2 linked regions of the Arabidopsis thaliana genome follow. The protein of the gene in region 2 interacts with the protein of the main gene of each other region in a pairwise test. Each region holds a gene or a part of one and is shown on either strand. Other genes may lie near its edges.

What was found.
Region 1: the proteins of PHS1 (region 2) and MPK12 interact in a two-hybrid assay, tested with the Arabidopsis thaliana proteins (one study listed by BioGRID).

What each region holds. Positions count from the first base shown.
Region 1 is NC_003071.7:18,941,584-18,951,694, forward strand, and holds MPK12 (mitogen-activated protein kinase 12), read right to left. Parts: upstream 6,485-10,111; 5' UTR 6,290-6,484; coding exon 6,021-6,289; intron 5,935-6,020; coding exon 5,805-5,934; intron 5,652-5,804; coding exon 5,514-5,651; intron 5,426-5,513; coding exon 5,093-5,425; intron 4,997-5,092; coding exon 4,813-4,996; intron 4,741-4,812; coding exon of another isoform or gene 4,718-4,740; coding exon 4,551-4,717; 3' UTR 4,354-4,550; downstream 1-4,353. Other genes in the region: AT2G46060 (transmembrane protein-like protein), read right to left, coding at 1-149, 246-374, 464-603, 687-791, 880-959, 1,032-1,096, 1,185-1,735, 1,826-2,368 and 5 more; BPS2 (BPS1-like protein), read right to left, coding at 6,734-7,777; LCBK2 (Diacylglycerol kinase family protein), read left to right, coding at 9,336-9,519, 9,680-9,756, 9,870-9,923, 10,029-10,088.
Region 2 is NC_003076.8:7,994,264-8,007,344, reverse strand, and holds PHS1 (dual specificity protein phosphatase family protein), read right to left. Parts: upstream 9,149-13,081; 5' UTR 9,037-9,148; coding exon 8,995-9,036; exon of another isoform or gene 8,840-8,994; coding exon of another isoform or gene 8,825-8,839; coding exon 8,747-8,824; intron 8,657-8,746; coding exon 8,514-8,656; intron 8,379-8,513; coding exon 8,177-8,378; intron 8,105-8,176; coding exon 7,928-8,104; intron 7,824-7,927; coding exon 7,663-7,823; intron 7,181-7,662; coding exon 6,085-7,180; intron 5,940-6,084; coding exon 5,793-5,939; intron 5,676-5,792; coding exon 5,448-5,675; intron 5,349-5,447; coding exon 5,191-5,348; intron 5,109-5,190; coding exon 4,751-5,108; 3' UTR 4,497-4,750; downstream 1-4,496. Other genes in the region: RUP2 (Transducin/WD40 repeat-like superfamily protein), read right to left, coding at 953-2,059; AT5G23710 (DNA binding / DNA-directed RNA polymerase), read left to right, coding at 10,125-10,817; AT5G23700 (coiled-coil protein), read right to left, coding at 10,925-11,061, 11,139-11,268, 11,419-11,594, 11,690-11,750, 11,827-11,939, 12,012-12,128, 12,276-12,336, 12,417-12,518 and 3 more. UniProt on the Arabidopsis thaliana protein: Probable dual specificity phosphatase that binds and dephosphorylates MPK18, modulating the organization and dynamics of cortical microtubules.

The sequences.
Region 1 (10,111 bases), on a different chromosome or scaffold from region 2:
GCCACATCCAGTAGCTCGAACTGGTTTCTACTTTGAAACTTATGGCTGCCATGGTGAAGGCTACAAGACCAGCCGCCACAAAGCCCCAACGAAACCGTTTCTTGAGCGTCTTGATCAAATTACTAAACCATTCTTTGACTGCCCGTGGCCTATGACAAGAATATGACAGACCTCAGATAAATAATGATTTTGTCACAGTAGGTAATCGGCGTAAGTCAGGAAACAGAATGGCTTCCTTATTTTACCTGTCGAGCATGTTCAATGAAAATCCAGCCGACCCGCAGTATGATCGATACTTGGTAACAAATTCTACCAAAAATCCGATGAGGAGACCGAGTGAACCGATTGCTAACACAATGATAATATTTGACGCCCTGCAAAAAGATAGCAAGCCAATGTAAATGTTTAGAAATAGTATCAAGGTGCTATTTATCACAACCATTGAGTCAAACATCTCAGATACCTTGTTGCTTGAGTCAAGGCCAATAAAGCTGTGAGAATGGCAACAACTGTGTGTATTGTCCTTTTAACTGCTTCACCAGCCGTGGATAAGTACACAAATGTACCAACCACGGCCATGAAAGAGAGCCAGAAATCCATGAACTGAAGCAAAAAAATTACCATCTCGTAATTAAGTATAATGTCACATAGAAGATGACAATGATGCAGCTCTCAACTACCCGTACCTGTAAAACATTGTAACTTAAAACACACCAGGTGCCTACATCACATGCATGATACAGAGCGCTCGAGATTCCGCTGGATGTAAACAGAACCCACTCTGGATACTCCTGTTTACGACATGAATCAGCAGCATTTAGATGGAAAAAAGAAAAAAAACAAGAGCCCCGGATTAAAGTGTTAAACCAAGAAAATTACCCGCTGCCGAAGAGCCCAGTAAGCTGGCAAAAGAGCCGCTGCATTTGATGCGATGAGAGCAATAGACTGAACAATATGTTCTGCATCAGGTTTTACGCACATGAGTATACAGAAAAGTTGTCAAAGTTTCAAACACTGATAGATTAAGATACCTTGGTGTGACACAATTTCAATGCTGCAGTCAAAGCCTCCGTGGGTTCTGTCACAAGAACAAAAGCTGAAACACAACACAAGAATTTGATCTCAAGATAATGTACTTTCCATCATGTTTACATATTTTGGCAGACTCGAGATAGATAAAAAACCTGTAAGATGTCAATCCATTAGCGTCAAAAGCATATCGGCATTGCCCATAAGACGAACACCCTCTCGGGCATCTTTCGAGAGAAAGAGATACTAAAGTAGGTGAACCTCTGGAAGCAGCAGGAGTATTAGAGTCAATGAGCTGCCTTAACCCAAATGACCAGGTTCCTTCTCGAGCATACAAGATGTAGAAATCAACCATTTCTTTGCTAGAATTATACAATGAGAAGAACATTGAGCGGCTGGCACTTGTTCGATTTACATAATAGTAATCCCGGTCGTCAATAGTGGGCAATCCACCAAATCTAAGATATACTTCATACTGTATTGTGGAATCTGATAATAATCTGAAATGGATATGTCCACCAGAACCACCTTGAGGGATGTTCATGAGAAAATAAGTCCATGTGCTTGTGTCTAATTCTGGAATAGAGGAAAAGTTGCTGACGATGGGTTCGAGGGGGAAATTTGTGCTCGAGCCTGAAAGTGAAGCGTCATTGACCGGAAAATAATATGATTGAAAAGGTGTCAACCATCCTCTCCTCATAACTGCCTGCATAAAATATATCGTGTTCAACGATTCTAATAAGTATATAACTCAATCTTGATTTTGACATACTCACAAGCTTTTAGAGCAACTTACCTGAAGAATGTAGATTTGCTGCCCACAATTTGGTCCTGCTTTTCCTACAGGACATCCGAGTACTTTAACATTAATGGAAAAGCAGACCCTAGAACTGGAATTTGTGCCCTGTGCAAACCGGTTCTCCCGTCCAGATAAACTAATAACTATATACCATCGACCAGCTTTCGGTTTGTTAACAATTAAGGGAACTTTATGTATATCAGCAGCGTAATCATGCAGAGTCTCTGAAGCAAAGGCTTCAAAACGGGCGTAACACATGAGATAACTTTCATTGGAATCTACTTTGACATTGGATGCCATAATAACTAACTGTTCAGCTATTCCATCTACATCTAAAGCATATGTCTTCGTTTCAGCACCAGTCAGACAAGAACTAGGAAAAGAATCAGCGCAAGAAATAACACTTGCTGTCTGGTTATCGAACCGAGAACATGAAAGCGGATAAATAGTCTGGTTGCAGAAAGGCCCCCACATTGTAGCGGTTTTACAACCTTCAACACTAATGTTGGCACTAAATGAAAACGCAGAGGAGCGAACAATCTGTGCAGTATCCAAATTATAAGAAATCAAAATCAGAACAAACAAACACTAAAGGCAGAAGTTTTATAAAGGGAGTGTTACCATTTTCCCCTGAGTCCTAGTCGCCCCAATTCCGTTAAAGAGACCAACATACCAAGCTCCAGGAGATATCTGGAAACAATAACGTTAAAAAAAGAAAAGAAACTCATCATCTAAAAAAGTCCTAACACACAAGAAGTAATTTAAAACCTGTTCATTGGTCAATCTCAAGGTTATATTCTTCTGCATAGGGTAACACTGTTGTGCAATCTCACTATCTTGAGCTCTTTCAAAAGATCCATTAAAGAACCGTCCTAGCTCTACAAAACATCAAAAAAATATAAAAAAACTTTCTCAATTCCCTAAAATAGTAAGAAGGTATATGATCTCTTTGACCAGACAAAAGAAGCTAACTAGCATGTTGTTACCTAAATCGTACCTAATCCTTGAAGAGCGTTGGTTGAGGCATCAGGCAGAGGAGGACTACCATCTCGAAAGCATATAACAGGAAGAAGACTTTTGGAAATCTTCGAAATGCTCTTTGCAGTCTACATACAATAAATAGCAATTACTTACATATTTATTTGAATACCAAAAACAAAATTTGGAGGAGAAAGATCTGTAATACTCACGATGTCTACATCAGATTCAATAGCAACATTCAATGATGAGAACCATGGAGGCAAATCAACTGTACGGAATCAAACAGAGAATCAGATAGCATCAACCAAAAGAAGATAGTCCAAAATGATCATAATCCAGAAGCAACTGATCAGATATAACAAATCCAATTCCATTTGCTGAATTTCAAATCATCATTCAGCAGCTGAAAAAGCTTGAATCTCAGATTAAAACAGACCTCTGATGTAACGTGTATCGTAGGGTCTGACTTCGGATTCAGGGTACCTGAAGCTCGAGACCGTGAAAAAGTTTCCATTATTGTCCGCAGCATCTTGAAGACAATTACAGATCGAAAGAGCACATGAAAACACGACGAGAGTTCTTAAAAGCAGAAACAAAATCTCTGCCATTGTAGGTGAAACTTTCTCTGAGAATTAAGGGTTTTAGACTCTTATTAGTGTGAGTAGAAGAAGAAGAAGAGAGAGCATCATCACTCGAGAGAATTTTCGTCGTCTTGATTGTTGAATACTGACTTTTTTTTTACATTTGTTAAATTTTTCGTCAGTTTTATCTCACGCGCCGCAACGGAAGTGTTGTAGTTACGCGCTGATCGAACGGTTGTTAAATGATTGGGATTTTTGGTAATGAAGAATCTTGGCGCGTGTCTTTTACACGGTATATCGGCGAGATAGGATCTTAGATATTCGGTTTAATATTTATCTGGTTTATATGAATAATATAGTACGTGTTGGTCAGAGACAAGAGTCATATAGGAACTTATTTATATTATTTTTTCACAAGAGAGATAATTTTATTGAACAAGACAAAACATTAGATGGACTATGTAATGCCCCACAACAGAAAAATAACAGATATATATTAGGCCAAACCAAGCCCATAATAGAAACTGCCCATGAAAAAAAGATATTTTATCTTTTGTCTCTCTCTATACAAAAAGGCTTTGATATTAATTTCTTTTAAATTAATTGGGGTGAGGGCCTTGATATTAATGGGCTTTTAGCGCCAATGTCTAATTTATAATCGACAACGACAGCGTTTTAAAATCTTAGACAACGGTATTAAAGTACATTTGTTCTCTGTTTTCTTCAAAAGGAAAAATACTATAATTATCAACATACATACATATCTTAGTACTTTTTCAGAGAAAGCTTCGTTGTGTGGGCGTGTGATATTTCCGATCAAGACAATGACAAAACTCTTGGTTTCAACTTCCGATCAATCTATTTGGCAATAAGTTCAAAAACTGTAATTTTACTAAACGAACTATTACACATAATACTCTGTTTTGGTAAACAGAATTTTTTTAAAATGCTATCATATATGATCAATAGTTTAAGAAATTTGATTTAAAGAAACTTGAGCTCTGCAGGGGCTTACGATATGGATAAATATGTGTGTATCATCATAGCAATTATTCAATCAAAGATAAAATGAGTTTAGATTCAATATAAAGGAATCTTAGATCAAACCAAACGGAGCAGACTTTTAAAAAGGAATCAAATCATTCAAACATGTTTCTCTCTCAGTGGTCAGGATTGAATTTGACAGACTCCTTGTAGATAAGCTCCTTTATGTGTTCTTCTGTGCAAGAAGGATGTTCGAAATCAAAGCTGAAAGGAGTCGAACAGACCGGTTCTTTGGCCACATCATGGTGCGGTGATAGGTAAGCATGGCCAAGGGCTTCATCGACTACACACACAACACATGCAGGTCTAATTGATAAGCCAAAAGCAAACTGCAAAAAACCACATGAATGTTTTAAGGATCTTTGTGTTGTTTGTTACCTGAGATGCGCCGGTTAGGATCAAAGACGAGCATTCTCTCAAGCAAATCGATAGCCGTAGTGGGCATTTTCGGGAATCTAGCAGCAAACTGTTGTTTCGGGTATCGCGGAAGTTGCCTGACGTATCTTCTTGCGTTGTCACTGCGAAGGAAGCCGAGGCTGGAATTGTCTGGAGAGCCTACAAGCTAATATCAAGAAATGGATATTAAGTGAAATCAGAATTGGGCATTGCAGTTTAAGAAAAGTGTAAAACTGATGCTTTTTTTACTTTACTGGTATACCTCTGTTATAAGCCTAAGCTGATGAACATAATCTTTGCCTGGAAACAACGGTTGTCCCGTCATGATTTCGCCGAGTATGCAGCCAACAGACCAAATATCAATAGCTGCGGTGTACTCTGAGCAGTTAAGAAGCAACTCAGGAGCCCTGTACCAACGGGTAACGACATATTCAGTCATGAAGTCTGTGTCGGAAGTTGTTCTTGCAAGCCCAAAATCACCAATCTTTAGCTCGTTTTTCGAGTTAAGTAGCACGTTGCTTGGCCTTAGATCACGATGTAATATGTTGGCCGAGTGCACGTATTTGAGCCCTCTTAAGAGCTGGTATACTAGGAACTGTAACAGGAAGACAAGTAAATAGAATAAAGATCAAATCAGAGAGTTCCATGACTTTACAAATGATTAGAACAACACAGAGACTTACACGGCATTGATCACTGGTCAGTGTTTGGTTAGAACGGAGGATTCGCTGAAGATCAGTGTCCATTAACTCATAGACAATGTAGACATCATTGAAGATATCTCGTTGCGGAGGTCTTACAATATCTTTGATGGTTATAACCTAAAGAATCAAACCGAGGCTTGAAGATTAGAGTAAACGAAATTATATATAAAGAGCATTTGACCCTGAAGATCAGGAACACTTGATAGATCTAGCAAATTTGAGAAACTTAAAAGATGTTGTCAAATGTGAGAAATGATGCTTAAGGCTTACGTTCTCATGATCCATATGCCTGAGAAGTTTAATTTCACGTAGCGTTCTCTTAGCATCGATGATGTTATCAAAAGCATTACCGATCTTCTTAATAGCCACTTTCTCTCCAGTCACTGAGTTCACCGCAGCACTGAAATTCAAGAATCAAGAGCCTGTGAACATTCAATAGAAGGAACGCTTTCATAATTTATCAGACAAAGAATCAAAAGAACTTACCAGACAATACCGCAAGCGCCTCTACCAATGGGACGAATAGGAGGGACATACTTTCTGGAAACTTCAAAGAGTTGTCCATAAACGTTGTACTGAACATAGCGGCCACCGTGTGTCGGTACAACTTTGATGCAATGTTCGGTAGAACCAGAGCTTGATTCTCCAGACATGATGATGCAATGATCAGACCGAGAACGAGAGAAACCAAGAAGAAGGGCTTTTGTTGAAGTTGAAGGATCTCCTAAAGTATCTCTTGAAGACACTAAATCCATGTGAAGAGAGAAGCTTTTTTCAACTGTAAAAGATCTCTCAAGGGACCCGTGAATCTAAAGATCATGAAAGATTACATACGTGTATGGTAACAAGAAGCAGAGTCACTCGATATTAGCTCAATATTGCATTTTTCATTTGTTACTACTAATTGCACTTAACTATAGATCAAAGCCTCTGATTTGTTCCTTTGATTGAAACAGGTTTAGAAAGATTGGATCACTACAAAGAGAGCAGTGATTTTTTCAAGCCAAACAGATGTATTCTATATTTATATTTTATTGCAGAATTGATTTCATACAGTCACACATACAAGACCAACACACCTAAACGGAAGAGACAAGCTCGACAGATGGACTCAAAACAAAGAAAAAAGAGAAAACACTATTTATAGAACCTAAAGCTGCCTTTTGTAAGGGTTAAACTTGTTTGTTTACCTCACTATTTTAGTCTACATCTTCTCCAACTGCATTGCCAGAGATTGAGTCACTTGACCTAAGATTACAGAGCAACACATCGCGCCCTCTCAAAGTCAGTTTAAAGAAACTATCAACTTCCTCCAGTAACTGATCCAACCCTTGAGACAATTTCTCAGCTTGTGTCCCCAATTCCATAACATTATCTTTGAAGAATTCAACTTCGACAGGATCAACGCCATCTTGGATCATCGGGTATAGCTTCTCGACACTAGCATCAACGCTCTCCAGCTCTTTGAGAATCGTGGTTCTACCGGAAGACAACATGTCTCTGATCTCAGCATTTACAACACTCTGCATATCAGTAAAGACCTTTGCCCATAATGGTTTTTCAGAGACAGGTAAATCGAAAAGATCCTTGGTGGAATCAGACCAGGCTGCGGTAAATACACTGCAGATATAAACTGTTTGAACCTTCACACCATAAAAAGCTCGCATCAGAACCTTTCCTTTAGGCGAGTTCTTGACTTTAGGCAGACTCAGAGATTTAACAAGACTGTCTAGAACCGCACGGCAGTTTTCAATTCTAGGGTTGTTTGTATTAACATGTTGCCTCCAGCTATCAAGCGAAGATCGAGCCTGGAGATACTTCTCCCCAGAATCCGATTGTAAATTGTGCAGAACACACTTGAGGAAGAGATCTCCCTGGTTGAGACGTGTGAGCTCAGAGCTAAAGGCATTACAGAGATCTAGTAACCTAACGCTTATGTTGAGGTAAACATCAACCCATTTCTCTTCCCAATCAGAGACAGGAAGCTGGAGATCAGTAATGAGAGTGTTAATGTTCTTATGAGTCTCGCAGAGTGACTCCATAGCTAGCTTCATCCAGGATAAAGTGAGGATGTCATCTTTGTTCTTAGGCATAAGTTTCTTCAGTCTCTCTTCCAAACGTAGCTCAAAGCCGTTCAATAGAGAAAGTAGCCATGGCGATAAATCTGATCCCTTTGATGATAACATCCGAAAGGGATTTCCAAATGGGAAGAAACCTCGGGGTGGATCTTGTGGTCGGCTCATTTTGCTAGACACCTGAAAATGAAAAGAGAAATATTGTTAGAATAATGATAATGATTAATCATACAAACCGATTTGCTGTGAACTCAATGTATCTTCTGTGTTGTTGCCACACATAGAAGGACTAATCGAGGAACAATACAATCCCAAGTCCCAACCTTAAGAGTCCCAAAAAGCTGACAACTTTTGAGATCTTGAAAAAAAAGAAGTTACCACCTTTATTGAAATGATGTAAAATCAAAATTTGAAGATGAAAACAAACACATAATCAATTGTTCTAAGCCATAATCTACACTTGAAGATGTCCAGAACCAAGGAATTAGGATAAAAGTTTCAATCTTTCCAAAATTAGAAGAACCCTAGGAGTTAATTATCTACACGGAAGTTTTGAACACAGAAGTTCGGTACAAACTCTTCATCGAACAGTAAAATCTATCTTAGAACTAAACACACAAACTTCGATTTACAGAAGAACACACACAATAAAAGGAGAATTATAGATAACAAAAAAAAACTCAATTTCCACGAAACTTACCGTTTTAAGTCGCCGGAAATGAAGAAATCACAGGGAAAATCGTGTGGAAATGATTCTTCTAATGCTTCATTGAATTTTCTGAGTCGATCGGCTGAGAAAAATGTCTGGCGGAGGTCGAGTTTGATAAAGCTACGGCCCGTCACATAAAAACTAGTTACAACCTTACAAGTATACCATTAGTGAATGGCTGTTACGTTTTAATTGGTCACAGCCTTGTGTGTAGTTAAATTCTTAGCGGAAAGTGGACGGCTATAAAATAATTAAAAGTTTTATCGAAGGGCCAAAAATGAGACGATTTCGTGGGATTATAAAATAAGTCATTGGTCGATTGGCGTAGTCTTTGTTTATTTTAATTATTATAACCAAATCTAACGGCTAACTAATACATACCACGTCCTACAGACTCCTGTTATTACTTTTAAAAATAAAAACTGAGAAGATTTAATCGAAAATTAATTTTGACGATTCATTATTATTTTTGGTAGTACTTTGCTTTTTAAAAAATTGTAAAATCCTCATCAAAAAAATTTCAGCAACTGTGAATATTTTTTAAAAGGCATAACAACTTTATTTGTTTTACGTAACGAATTCCTTGGATTTGCGTAAAACATGGGCCTCAAAGCCCAAATGACAGCTGTCAAGGAACAAATCGGTCGACAAAAGTATGGACCCCACTTTTAATTTACATCCGGACAAAGACTAAAGAGCTGTCTTTATCTCAATCGTTTTTCTTGTTTCTTTAAGCCCATTAGGTATAGCTACCTCAATTTATGGGCCATCAGGTCCAAAGGGCATTTTTCCCAAAAGATTCCTAATCGAATTACGTCGATATTGAATACCTTATTGACTTTGAGACAACTCCACCATTGTGCTAGATAAAATAGGCCTTTTTAAAACTTTGAAGATAAAAAACGGCCCATAAACGTTGTGAAAAAGCCTCTCGCTGAAACAGAAGGTCTCTGTAAGTGTCTAATCGCGCGATGAACTTGATAACGGCGATGACCGGAGCTAAATTGCGGCCATACAATGCTACGATCCACTTGCTGCACTCCACTTTGCCCTTTCACGGCGAAACAACCTTCTTTCCTTAGGAAACAGCAACGTATTACCTCTGATCGCTTCACCTTTCGCGGTGGTGGTGGTGGCGATGCCGCCGCCGTCGTCTCCTCCTCCGGCCTCCGTGATCTCGTTTTCGTCGTAAACCCTCAAGGTGTGTTTGCCCTTTTACTCACTGGATGAAAAAAAACTGAGATTCGAAATTCATTGGATTTAAAAATGATGTTTTTAATATGAGAATCAATCTCGATGTGGAATTGAGGTTTAGTATTATCGTCTCTTGATTCTTTTCAATGTCTTTTATATGAGTCTAGGTGCTAATGGTAGAACAGCTAAAGAATGGAAGAAGTTGCTTCCTCACCTTCGATCTCGTCTTGGTAAAGACTGTAATGTGAGTTTTTGATTCACTTGCCTTTTTGTGCCCCTGTGTTAGTGATGCCATCTCCTTTCGCTTTCTTCAGTTCCTTCAACTGAGTTTACGTGTCTTCTTGTTTGTTTCTCCAGGTAAGTGAATTATTAACATCGGGTCCTTCTCATGCCATTGACATTACAAGAGAGGTAAGGAGTAGTGAAAGTAATATACTACTTTGCTGGGTACAGTATTCTCTGTCTTGTCGATTTGGTTTTATGATGATCCTCTGTTGCTTCTAATTATCCTCTCAGGCTATAAGGGATGGTGCAGATGCTGTCATTGCGGTTGGAGGTGATGGAACACTTCATGAGGTAGGAATTGCCATTTTTGGTTG
Region 2 (13,081 bases):
TATGGCGTCTCTAAATTCTTGAATTAGCTTTAGTTATTGGCCACGAACCTATTATTTTATATGCACGTATCTACTATCTAGTAAGTGTAGATTAGTATATTCTCTCATGCACTTAATTATTGTTTGAGATCAGCAAATGCATGAAGTAGGCATTTAGGAGTGAAGGACTACTTTGCACAAAACTTTCTTTTATGTGGGGCGACAAATCTAAATTGTTATAACTCTTTCCGTTGCGTAATGAATTTTAGGTCTTCTATATTAAGATTTTCAAAGGTGATTAAAACCATCATTGTGGCACGATACGAAGCACCCACAAAAATATGATTCTTTAAGAAATGTGGTGCACAAATTCTGTTGTTTAAAACGACTTTACTCTTTGAGTTTCAGGACGATTAAACCAGAACATGGCCTTTTTTCTTACTAAAAAAACATAGAATTAAATAAGATGTGATTAAAAAAACAAGCTTACCACATAGCTAGATTGATTAGGCTTTTCTCATTTCATCAACCATTATAGTTTTATTTTTAATAATTCTATTGTGAAGCCCCAAAAAAGCAAAAATAACTAATCTCGTGATGTATACACTAGATAAGGTAGACGAATGCAATAAAATTTATTTTATATCTACCAACAAACTTGTAGCTACTAGCTACTTTTGTGATCAAACACTTGAAGAAAGTCATTCCCAAATATCGTATAATAAATAGGTAATGAAAATTTATGGATTAAAAACTCAAATTTCTGAGTAACAACAAAGATATTGAACAAGTAAAAAATCCTTTATAAATTAAAAAAAAAAACAAACAGATCGTATGCTCTCACAACTCAATCAAAAATCATCTCAAATAGGAAATTAAATTTGAAAAAAAGAAAAGAAATTAAGAAGCATCATCATCATCATCATCATCATCATAATTCATAAAATATAGTAATGATAAATTAAGAAGAACACTATGGTTTTCTTTTGCCCACGTAAACCTGTAATACTCCATCAGATCCTCCAGCCACTAGGGTACACTGGTCCACACCTGATTGCCTCCAACAGACGCTACTCACGAACCGCTTATCCGAACCAGAATTCATACCAACTGGTTCAAACCCATCTACCCAAACCGGCTTCCCCCATCTCCTATCGTACACAAACACCCTGTTGTTTTCCGATCCACAACCAAACAACGCGCCGTTTCTCCACACAGATAACCCCACGAAGTTCCGATTATTCACATGCCCTTCGTACGTGCGAATCACGCGCCCATCCTCCACGCTCCACAGCTTCAAACAACCGTCCGTACCTGCCGTCACCACCGTCCCACCGTCGAGGAACCTCACATACGACACCGTTTTCGTATGACCTTGTAAAGTCAACGCCGGGTCAACGAGTTTCCTTATATCGTAAACGTACCCTTTCCGATCAGCGCATCCGACGGCCACGGCTGGTCCACCGGAAGGATCGAACTCGACGCAACAAACAGCACTCCGGCAAATCCCCGCCGGTCGTACAACACCGACAGATTCTTCCGGCGGACACCTCGGATCCCATACTTGCATAGTCCCGTCATCCGATCCCGACGCGCCCACCGTCGAAGCGCCGCCGTGACGAGTGTAATCTACGCTCCATACACGACGACCACCGTGCTCGTCCCTTTCGAATACCGGCGTCCTCTTCTCAAGATCGTACTCCATCACTACGCCGTCGTAATCTCCCGACCCAATAACCCGACCGCCCGACCCGGGTCTCCACCGGAGACTACTAAGTTTCGCCGGAGTACAGATGTAATATTCGCAGGCGGTGGCTTGATCGACGAAGGAAACTCCGGTACCGGAGACAGCGTTGTTACGTAAAAGAGAAGGGAGGCCGTAAAAACGAATCTTTCTTGAAATCCCGGCGGTAGCGACGATGTTATCAGTGGGATCGAATTCAATAGCTCCGATAACGTCGGAGGCGGAGGAGGAGGAGGAAGATACGACGGTGGAGAGAGAAAGATCCCATTCGTATCTAGCTTCTTCTTGTTGTTGTGCTTGTTCTTGTTGCTGCTTGTGAGGATGAAGAGTGTTCATATGAAAACAGAGTAATGACTGTTGCTTCTGGGGTTTCGGACCAATCGAAAACCAATCCCATTCAAAAGAATTTTTTTTATTAATAGTTTAATACATTAGAATATAATATTCATTTTAATATGGCTTTTTGTTTTTCCCTCAGTAAATAATTGGGTTTATTACTAATCCACGTATGAATTTTTATTCTATGAGTTTATCTATTCCTATGCAAATGTCAGAGAAAGGTCCCATGTGAATTCTATTTCAGGCAAGAAAGTGTGAAGTTTGTTGTCGTGGCTACTTATATAGCCAAACATGGCAAATTCTTGTATTAAATTGATTGACTTGTAGTAGGCGAAAGGACGTTAACTAAATGTTGAATAAAAAAGATAGTAACATTTCGACTACTATCACAATAAATCTTCACTGACCATTAGATTGAGGTTGTTCGTAAATTACAATGATGAGATGATCGTAATGGTAACACCGAAACATTAAAAACCAAAAACAAAACGTCTATTTGTACCACTTACTTTTTCCTACACCAAAACTAACAAAGTAAATAGTTTCTTATCAACGTTTGAATTTTAACTTACTTTGTTGTTGTTTAGTTTTACAATCGTAGTAGGCATTTAGGATTTGATTTGAATTACTTTGTTGTTGTTAGAAAATGTACAACTTTCGACGATGTGATTGAAAAAGACGTAGCATTTTCCTATCTGGTTACTTTCAATTGCTTGATTCACCAAAAAAAATATAAATAAATTATAGCCTTCATGGCTTCAATGCACTTATACAATCTTTTTATTTTACAGAATAGTCAATTTTCTTCTATATCAAATCAACTTTCAAAGCTAGAAAGAGACATATACGCTTAAAATTGCCATATCGTATAGACGAAATCGTTTGATACCAAATACTCCATATGTTCCTAAAAGTTTGATGCTCTAGCTTTTGTTTTTTGTTTCATAAAAATTGATTTTCTAGCATTTTTCTTTATTTTTATTGTCTTATAACACTAAGAAAAATGTTAAAATGATTAAACAATAATTGAGTTCTTAATAAGCGTCAAAATCCAAAACATCAAACTATTATGAATAGAGGGAGTACTAGTTTATCTTGATTTTGTCATTCGGATCAATAGTAGAAATGTTTGGACGGATTCAAAAATTTTCACTTAGATGATCATTTTATATCCGGGATAATAACCACTCACAAATAAGTGGTCAACATGTATAAATATGCCATAACCATTCTCGATAGTTGTCCAATTCCTAATGAAAATCCGAATCATGTAACTTATTTGATTCTCGATATTATATTATTTACGAATGTCGGGTCTAAGAAGCATTTCTATTATATTATTTACAGGTATCAAAAACAGATAACGGTTCTCTATAACCATATAACCAAGAAAAGATAAGCATAGATCACGGGGTTAAAATATCGATATTGATACTACGCGTCCGATAAAGAAGAGCCGGGGCAGATTTTGAGAGAGAGAGAGAGAGGAGAAAAAATCGGTGGTAGGTTTTAGTTTTATGAGAGAATTTTGTGGACAGCAAAGTAAGGACGAGTCATACGTGTGTTATGTACCACCTTTGGTCATTGTCCTCTTTTTCATGTCTCTTCGTTACTTCTCAGCCTCAAGTCTTTTATAACACTTGTGCTCCATGTTTGGACCCACACTGCTTCAAAGAATGGATTCGATTTCCATTTAATGCCATTTATTAATATTTCTCCAAACAACAAAATACGTGAACTACCTAACATATAAAATTTCACCAACTAAAGCGCAATCTTAACGTCCGTTACAAAAGTGGGCTTCTACACTTTTTGAAGAAACAAATTAACTTGTTATTCAAGAAATTGGTAAACAATAAACAAACAAAAATGTAGGAGAGAGGACATCGCTTAAGATATAATATCAGAAATTTTTTTGAAGGAGTTCATTACAAGTTCATTGGTGCTTCTGATGTGCAACTTTCCCATGAAAAAGAAGGCAGAGAATAAAGTGGAGATACAAAAGCAACTTAAAGGATGACTTAAAGGAGAGACTAGTCATTAACAAAGGAATGGATAAATTAATAAGTAGTTGGAAAAAAAGCTAACACCAAGTTGGTCCACAAAGACGATCCACCGTTATCAGATTTCCCACATAGATTTAACATCAAATTAGATTTGCATTTATGTTCCCCAATATTTCAATCAATTTTTACTTTGTCTGCTTTCCATAGCCATTCTTCATACATATACCACCTCATGATTCCTTCATCTTTCTCCGTCGTCTGGCACATCACGCACGTCTTGTACTCCATACAAGTCACAAATGAAAGTTAACAAGAGTTCACTTTCATCAATGTGCACGCCGGAAAGAATGTCAAATTTTTTTAGTTTATTATATCGAAAATGAAAGGGAACTTTTGTTTGATTACGCAATCAATTTTTTAGTTTTATGACATTTTTGGGCCAAATCTTACTTTCTTAACACAAAGCACAAGGGAAAAAGAGTTACAAATGTTACATTAGCTTATTATGACGTTTCCCAGTGACTTCTATTCAGCTTTTCGGCTTTTTATTTACTTGCGTATACAAGTACAAAGATCGTTACAGTAAAAAACAAAACAAAACAGATCAATGTTTTTGTTCAGAGATGTACGATTAGAGAGACTTTAACCGGGACAAACCATAGATAAAACCAAACCGGACTCTCTAACCAGGATGAGATTGGAAAGAATTGGAACTAGCACTTGAGCCACGGCCAGTGCTGAGTTTAAGAGCCTCCAAAGCCTTTTGAATCTCCATGTTCATTGCACTGTCAACACTTCCCGAAGACAGTTTCCTGTGAGATTTCTGGAGATGAAGCTTCAAAGAACTGCTGCTTAGACCTGCGTTCTTTCCACAAACCGGACACACTTTCATTGTCGGTTTCCTCTGTCTCCACTCCATTGATACTTTCCCGTGACATTTCTTGTCGAGGTTTATTAAGATCCGCGCAAATCCATCATTCGGTTGAGCTCGTCTATGAACTTTCCTCAGTTTGCTCCATGCTTCTAAAAGTGTGAGCTTCCTATTTATTGTTCCCACCAGTAAACAAATGAGAACAAGTATTGAAAATTTCCAACAAATTTTATTTGTCCCCAACAACTTACTTTTGGAGCATTAGGTAAGCAAGCACTACTGTTGCGCTTCTACTCCGACCTTCGAAGCAATGAACTAAAATCTTGCCACCAGTTTCTTCGCCATGCTTGATGAAATCGAGAGCTTCTTGAAAGATGCTCTCGATATTTGAGTCTTCATCATCGGTTATCTGGTCAAAGGGAAGACACAAGAAGAAAACGATCATCTTTATAGATGCATTTTTTTTTACCAATTCCTTTTAAGAGACATATAAGACAGGTTCACTTACTGAGAAGTTTTGGTACTCGAAGAGATCCGGGTATTGAGTATCCGATTGCCCGATTTCATTAGCGCACAAACATAGAACATGAGTTATACCTAAATGCTGAAGAGTGTAAATCGACCTTGCAGCCAATCCTCCCCCGATAAAAAGATTTTCTTGTATCATTGATGGTTTCTCTGTATTAGCAGCTTTGCTAATCAATGATATCCTCTCAAGAATATGCTCAAGTCTAACCTGTTATCAAGGAGAATGCAAACAAGAGAGACAATGTTTGAGTTCAGTTGCCAAAAACTATATTATATAATGAAGATCATATTCAGGATAAAAGGAAATAATAAAACTTCATGATACCTTTAGCTCATAAGCATCTGTGCAACTGTTATTATCACTGCCCTCAAAAAAACCAGTGTTGAAACCGTTCTCTTGGCAAAGTTTCATCACTTCATTCCGCAGTGTTTCATTCCACTGGTCTAGTTCTTTATTAGACTCAGCATCAACCTGGACGCACCATGAAAATATTGAGAGTGAAGAAAGAGAAAATGGCTGAGAACTTCCATCCAAGAAGACAAACTTTTTTTTTTATAAAAAATCTGAACCTACTTTACAAATTAGAACATAGTGATCAAAGCTCGAAGCGACAAACCTTTGCAAACTTATGGAAGTCACGGAGCTTTGCTGCCAAACGCTGACTGCTAAGAGATTCTCCACCTTTACCGGATCTTCCGTGCCAACTTTCACGTGACTTAGGCGAAGACCCGTCTTCTTTGTTTTCTGAATTTGGTGTCCTAGGAACTGATTTTTGCATATCTGACTCACTGTGATCAGAGCTGTTATCACTAGGCACCCGATCTTTTGAGGGAGATGGATAATGATTCACCTCATGCCCATGAGTATGTGAAGGTGACTCAGGAACAGCAAAGTCTTCTCTGTCAAAATCTGCACACATTGTTTTGTCCATCATACTAAAAAATGCCCGAAGCAACACATCTAATTTCTGATGAAGGGTGACAAGGAAGATGTGAAACTCTTGCAAATCCCTGAGACCAGCTCGGAAACCATTTCGAAACTCGCGTACAACTGGTGTTACTACAGATCGAACATTAGATGTTTCTTCACCATCTTCTGCCTGTGGATATCCTAAACTTCCTTCTGTTATTTCATGTAACAAATTCGAAGAATATTGGCTACTATTGAGGAGTAACTCAACTAATCTTGGATAAATTTCTTGGTCGCTTGCCCGTTTTCCAGCAGGAGGCCGCCGTGGAACACCCGAGTCTATGGCAACGAGGTGAAAATCGGCAGCTACTGATCTATCAGACATTGGACTCATTAAACCAGTATCATATGATCTAGGTGATTCCGTTATATCAGAAAAATCAGAAGCCTGTGAGACCAACATTTGATCACTGATACTCAACCTGGATCTGCTATCTACGGAAGAAGCTCTTCTTTCCCTTTGAATGGATCTATAGTCCTTTGGATGGTACCGTTTGATGGCGGAATCAAAAGCTTCATCAAATGAACATTCATGATGCTTTGCAGAAGACACAATTCTGTCTGTCAGTAACAGATTTGCCGGGTTGCCACGCCATCTCAGCTGACGACACGGTAATCTGTCTTCATTCCTAATTACTAGATCTAACACCAAGATTCTCCCTAGAGCTGCAGCAGCTCTCTCTGCTTTTTCTTCAGTTTCAAAACTACTCATGCTCTCCAGCATTGGACATCCATGAACATAACTGTAATCACATATAGAGAATCCTGGGCTAAGAAGAGGGGTTCTATACAAACATCACATTAAAAATTGTAAATTTGAAAGTGCCTACATGATCCTATTAGGTAAGACTAGATTTTACATAATCCTATTAGGTAAGACTAGATTTCTGTTCAGCTATTTCTCTCATATTTATTATCATTTAAAGCAAGATTAGATTTCTGTTTAACTGTTGTTATCAAATTTTATCCAATAAAATAATTCCACCTCATATTTGTAATTTAGATCTTTCTTATTTTATAATACAATTTTTATATCTAATAACATAACATCTTTTATTTTTCTTAAAATATATTATCAAATGGTATATTCATATTTCAAATGGTTTACTATCATCTAGTTAAACACTAATGCAAAGGAACAAAAAAACTGTCAACATTATGCTGCTGGTCCAAGTAAAAAATGGAGAAAAGTGATAAAGAATAAAGATGAATCTTGTGCTTTCACCTCATTAAGAGAAGACAACGGCTGAGCTCAAGGGCTTCCAGAAGTTCTGAACATGTCATTTCACCAACCTCGTCCCCCTCCGAAGTCGCTTTAGCTTGTGCTTTTTCAGTGGCTTCTTTGATCAGTGTCCACTCAGGATTACAGCTGTGAATTACTCTAGCCTGTCGCATGATGATTACTCATTACTTGAAAATTCTAGAAAGAAAGTGAAATGAGCAAAACCATTACTACATTTTTAAAAAACTACAAGAAAGAAAAGAAGCACCTGCGGAATCTGCACCCCTAGCCACTTGGAAAACTCATAACCTAGACGTTCTGATTGCGTGGCCATCCTCGATGATGCAAATTTAATAACTGCTGCTTCTTCCTTACGAGAGGCATCTTCAGAGCTGGAACTATTGAACAGGGCAAAGAAAACAACTCCTCCAGAATTCACAGTAACCTGTACAGACATCTAATAGTGTCAAAAGATCCTCCTAGCATCACCAGTCCAAGATCATAATGATATATATACCTCAAGTGGTTTACTCTGGTCTTCTTCAGAATGATCAGTGCTACTACTATGTTCAGTATGATGAAGTGAAGACAACATATTCCATGAAAAACAGCTCGAATCAATATCCACAGTAGAAGCTTTACCAAGCCTTTCCCACAAACTAATCTCTGAACTCTGCCTACTTGGTGGACTTTTAGGATCAGTATTCCTCTCTCCTGCACTGGATAATACTTGTATCAACTGACATGAAGACTAATATCCTAATTTAGAAACCTTTGTTCTGATATACTCATAAGATTCCAAAATCATAATCAACAAACCAAGTACTTGACAAAAAGTCAGAGAAAGTGTTAACCTAGTGACCATATCATCGATGCGGTGAAGGCGGTGAGGGAAGCCAGAGGATCCGTAAGTAGCACTTCGTTTACGAACTAAATCCAACCATTGAGTAAACCTATAAGCTGGACCAGATGCTATATCTCCTAACATGTACAAAACCTGCAAATTCCAAAAGTCTTCCAATTTTTAAGACGAGACTATTAATATAACCCTAAAACCTAAAACGAATTTAGGATCGGAGAAATTTACACGAGAAGTGACGGTGAGAGGAAGAGGAGACTCGTGCTCGTCGTGAACAAGGTATAGATCTTTCTCTTCGTCTTTTTCCTGCGATAGCACCATAATATCAGATCAGAGAAAAAGGGGAAAAAATCAAAATCAAAATCTGGCTCTGCGAAAAGAGGGAGAGATAAATGTGGGGGTAATGATGAACGCAAAAGGTGGGGGTGATAATGATAGATTATTAAATTTGTGGGGGAAAAATGAAGGATGATTACTTGAGAAAATGGTTGATCTCGCTTCTTCTCAGGTTCCGCCATTGCAAAAGCTTAGGTTCTGTTTAATTTTAGAAATGTCTTTTTCTTCAAATGTCAGCTTTGTATCTGAGAAGAGGAAAGTCTCAAGGTATCTTTAATTAATATGAACTTGTCGGACGAAGAAAGAAGACGGATATTTAATTTCATAAATTTATTATTGTAATAAAGACTCTGATCATTTTATTCTCATTATTCAAGATTTAAAAAAATAAACATATTATTATTTACAGAACTGTCTTCTAATTTTATTTTATTTCCGTTTTGTGTTATTATTTAAAACTATATTTTGTATGAAACTATTTCGGTCGAAATCAACAACATTTATACAAAAATGGTTTTAGATTTTAAAAAATATTCACTAAAGTTTATGGTTTAATCTGAAAAAGTTCAGTCTAATAAAATAAAATATTTATAGAATTTTTTTGTCAACTTATTTCTGAAAATTAATAAGCATAAATATTAGTAAAAAATCAAAAATATATACTTTCTTTGTTTTACAATATAAATTGTTTTGGACCAAATTTTTTGTTTTACAATATAAATTATTTTCAAAATTTTATGCAAATTATATATTATTTTAATACTTTATAATTATTTCTATTTTTAAAAAATAAATTGAATTTTTTAAAAATAAATATTTTTAATCTACATGTTTTTATCTAAACCAACTTGTATAGCGAAATCTCATATTGAATTAACAAAAATCCTGAACAATATGTACCAATCCACTTCGAGTTACCTTTTGTTGTGTATTAGTTTAGGCCCACACTAATATATTTGACTTTCTTCTCTGTCTTATATATTTAGCTAAAAGCAGACCTAGGGTTTTCGTATCCGTTCCAGTCACGGACGACTTCTCCGTTCTCTGAACTCTCCTAAAGCCTCTATATTCATCGGATTGTTCATCTCCAGTAAACCAATCTCCAGGTAAATTGAATCTGAATCTTCACCAAAATCCTTTGTAATCTCAGAATCATCGATTTTATCACCTTCTTATAGTATAGATCAATCCTTTTCGTAAATCACACGAATTCTCTCAATTACCGTGTCACAATTCCGATTGATTTTTGCAGTTTGGTGAATTTGTAAGAATGAGTAAACGAAAACGTCCGGATCCGAAATCATCGGGAGGTGATCTAAACGAGCCACACGAGAAGAAGCTTCTGGATCTGATTCGAATAAACCAAGGAAGAGGCGCAACTATGTTCGAATTGAAACGCGAGAAAACGATCCCAGCAACTATAGTTACTCGATTGATCGCTTCTCTACGGAAGAAGAATCTCATCAAAGAAGTAGCAAACATGAACAACAAAGGTGTCAAACATTATCTTGCAATGGAGTTTGAGCCTTGTAGTGAACTTACTGGTGGTGAATGGTACACTGATGGAGCTCTTGACCTGTCGAAAATCGAAGATTTGAAAGCCAAGTGTGTGATGATTTTGGAGAGGCATAGGCAGAGGGTTGTTACTTTGGAGGTTTTGTGTGGGTATTTTGTTAAAGAGGAGAAGCTGAGTGTTGATCAGACTAAGGAGATACTTAAGAACTTGATTTTGGATAATTTGATCATGGAGGTGAAGAGTAATGGAATGAATGAGTTTGCTTCTACGAGAATCGGAGAAGTTTGCTACAGGTTGACCGGGAAAAAGTTCGGTAATGGCGAACCGAGAGCTGGAGCTTTTGCTTCGATTCCTTGCGGGGTTTGTCCGCATATAGCGATCTGTTCACCTGATGGTGTTATCTCTCCCACTACATGTGTTTATTTTCAGAAATGGTTAGACTTTTAGCACTCTCTTTTTTTTTTTTTTTTTGGGTTTAAAACTTAAGATTTTAGATTATGATGATTTGTTTTTTCGGTTATACAATAGAGAATAATGCTATTGATATCTTTAAATTAAGAGTCAAGGTTGTGATTTGAAAGAGTAGATGTCGGAGAAGAAGATGGAAGAAGCTGATCTGTTTCTTTGCGACAAGCTTCCCATAATTGTTGCTCTACTCCTAGTTTCCTTAGCTCTAACAAACCTCGTTCCACTGTAAAGAGAACAAGTTAATGTGTTATTAAAACTAGAATTAGGACACAGGGGAAATCAATTGAAGAAGTTTATTACCGTCAACGGCATCTTGTGAAGTCGGAGATTTTCCTTCACTACGACTGGTCCAAAACTGGAAACGTTCATCTGCAATGTCTTCTTCCACACTATGCAACTTGGCTCTACCCCAGAAGTACATAAGCCATGCCTGCATTTATAACCAAATAACGTCGGTTCATCAAGATTCATCGCGATAAATTTAGTTACCAACCACAATATACCAATAATTACCATCTCTTGTAACAAAATGTCACATTATAACCTTATAGTTATGAAATTATAGGCATAAAGAAACTACCTGCTTAAAGGCAACATCTTCTTGTTCCCCTTCTTTTATCTCTGCATTTGAGAAATGTGATAACATAGTAAGGATTTCATCAAGTTTGACTGCTGATATGATATATTGTGCATGTTTGGACTCTCTTCTCTTACCGTATGATTCTACAAAACTGAGTTCTCCATGCCCTTTGGAATCTGTAAGATATGGAGAAAACAGACTATTGATCTCGATGACTAGTAAAAACAGACTATATTTGACACTGTACTAATTGATGATATAGCATACATACCTTGACGAACCAAACTCGGTGTTCTCTTCTGTGCGAATGCAAGCATAACAGCATCCTCAACCTAAATTTCGTTGTGATATGAGAACTTAATTATGTACTTGAAGATACCTTAAAGTAAAGAAACAATGGTATATTACCTTTAAGGATGCCAGCTCTCTCAAACCCATCTCAACTGAAAGCATACTTTCGATATTTCCTTCTCCAGGTAGATCACTTAAAAATCTAGCAGTTTTGCTCTGATCACTCCCACCTGATCAATTCCAAAGGCTGGTAAGTAAACAGTATCAAGGAAACCTTGGCCATAGCAAATATTAAGACTAGCCTTTGTCCCGAGATAACTCCTTGGTCTTTTGTGCTGCAGATATGACCAGCTCAAATGGAAGAGGAGCCAGAGCCGACCATTTTTCATGCCTGGATGGTGCTATGTCAGCACAAATGCCTACATAGGTAAGCCACAGGAAAACCAAATATCTAAGAATTTTAATAAATAAACTACCTCACCACAACTACAAGCCTTTGACCAAAATTAGAGAGCTGAGTAAGTGTATCAATGAGAACACGTTCACAAGATGGATGCATTACTTACCATGCTGCACTGCCAAACCCCAATACCGGGCAAGCCAGCATCTCTTCAAGGCTACTTCCTCCTAGATGATCAATTTTTTTTTCCATACAATCAGAAATCTTTAAACGTGAGTATAATGAGACTTGAGCTTTCTAAACATACCATTTCGTCCTGTGTTAAAACCATTCTTTGAGTCATTATACGAAGAGCCTTTGCTTCTGATTCCGCTTCTTGAAGGCATTCCGCAGCTGTTTCTGCCTCATCCTTCAAGATCTGAACATAAAGAAATGATTACATAATGCAGATCAGAATAACAAACATATTCTAATACCAAAATATTAGTAGACCTACCTGAATTTCTGAACGGAGGGAAACAACTTCCTCCTTTTTCCCATCTTTTTTCTCGTTAGCAGCCTTAAGAGCAGCCTGCCAGCCAGTCAGTCTTAATCGTTAGGCTTTACAAAAATGTTTATCTATAACTTAATGTGGCATCATAAAAGTACAAAATGGGAGCTCAACCAAAGAAGCGATTAAAATTTTATATATCTCTACACACTAACCTCACGTTGGCGCAATGCCGCTTCCTTTCTGAAGGAAATCACAGTTCATCATGAGCTTTATAGTTACCGACGTATATTCTAAAGAAGAGAAAGATAAAGAAAAAGAGGTCACAGGCTCCTTACCTACTTAACAATTTAGCCTCCAGAGACACTCCTTCTCCAAGAGAAGCAACCTTTTTGGGACAAGAAAAGAAAAGGGACAGATGAATCTTTGAAAATATGCTAGCACCTACACGCATGTCATTCTAAGTAAAAATAAAATCTTGA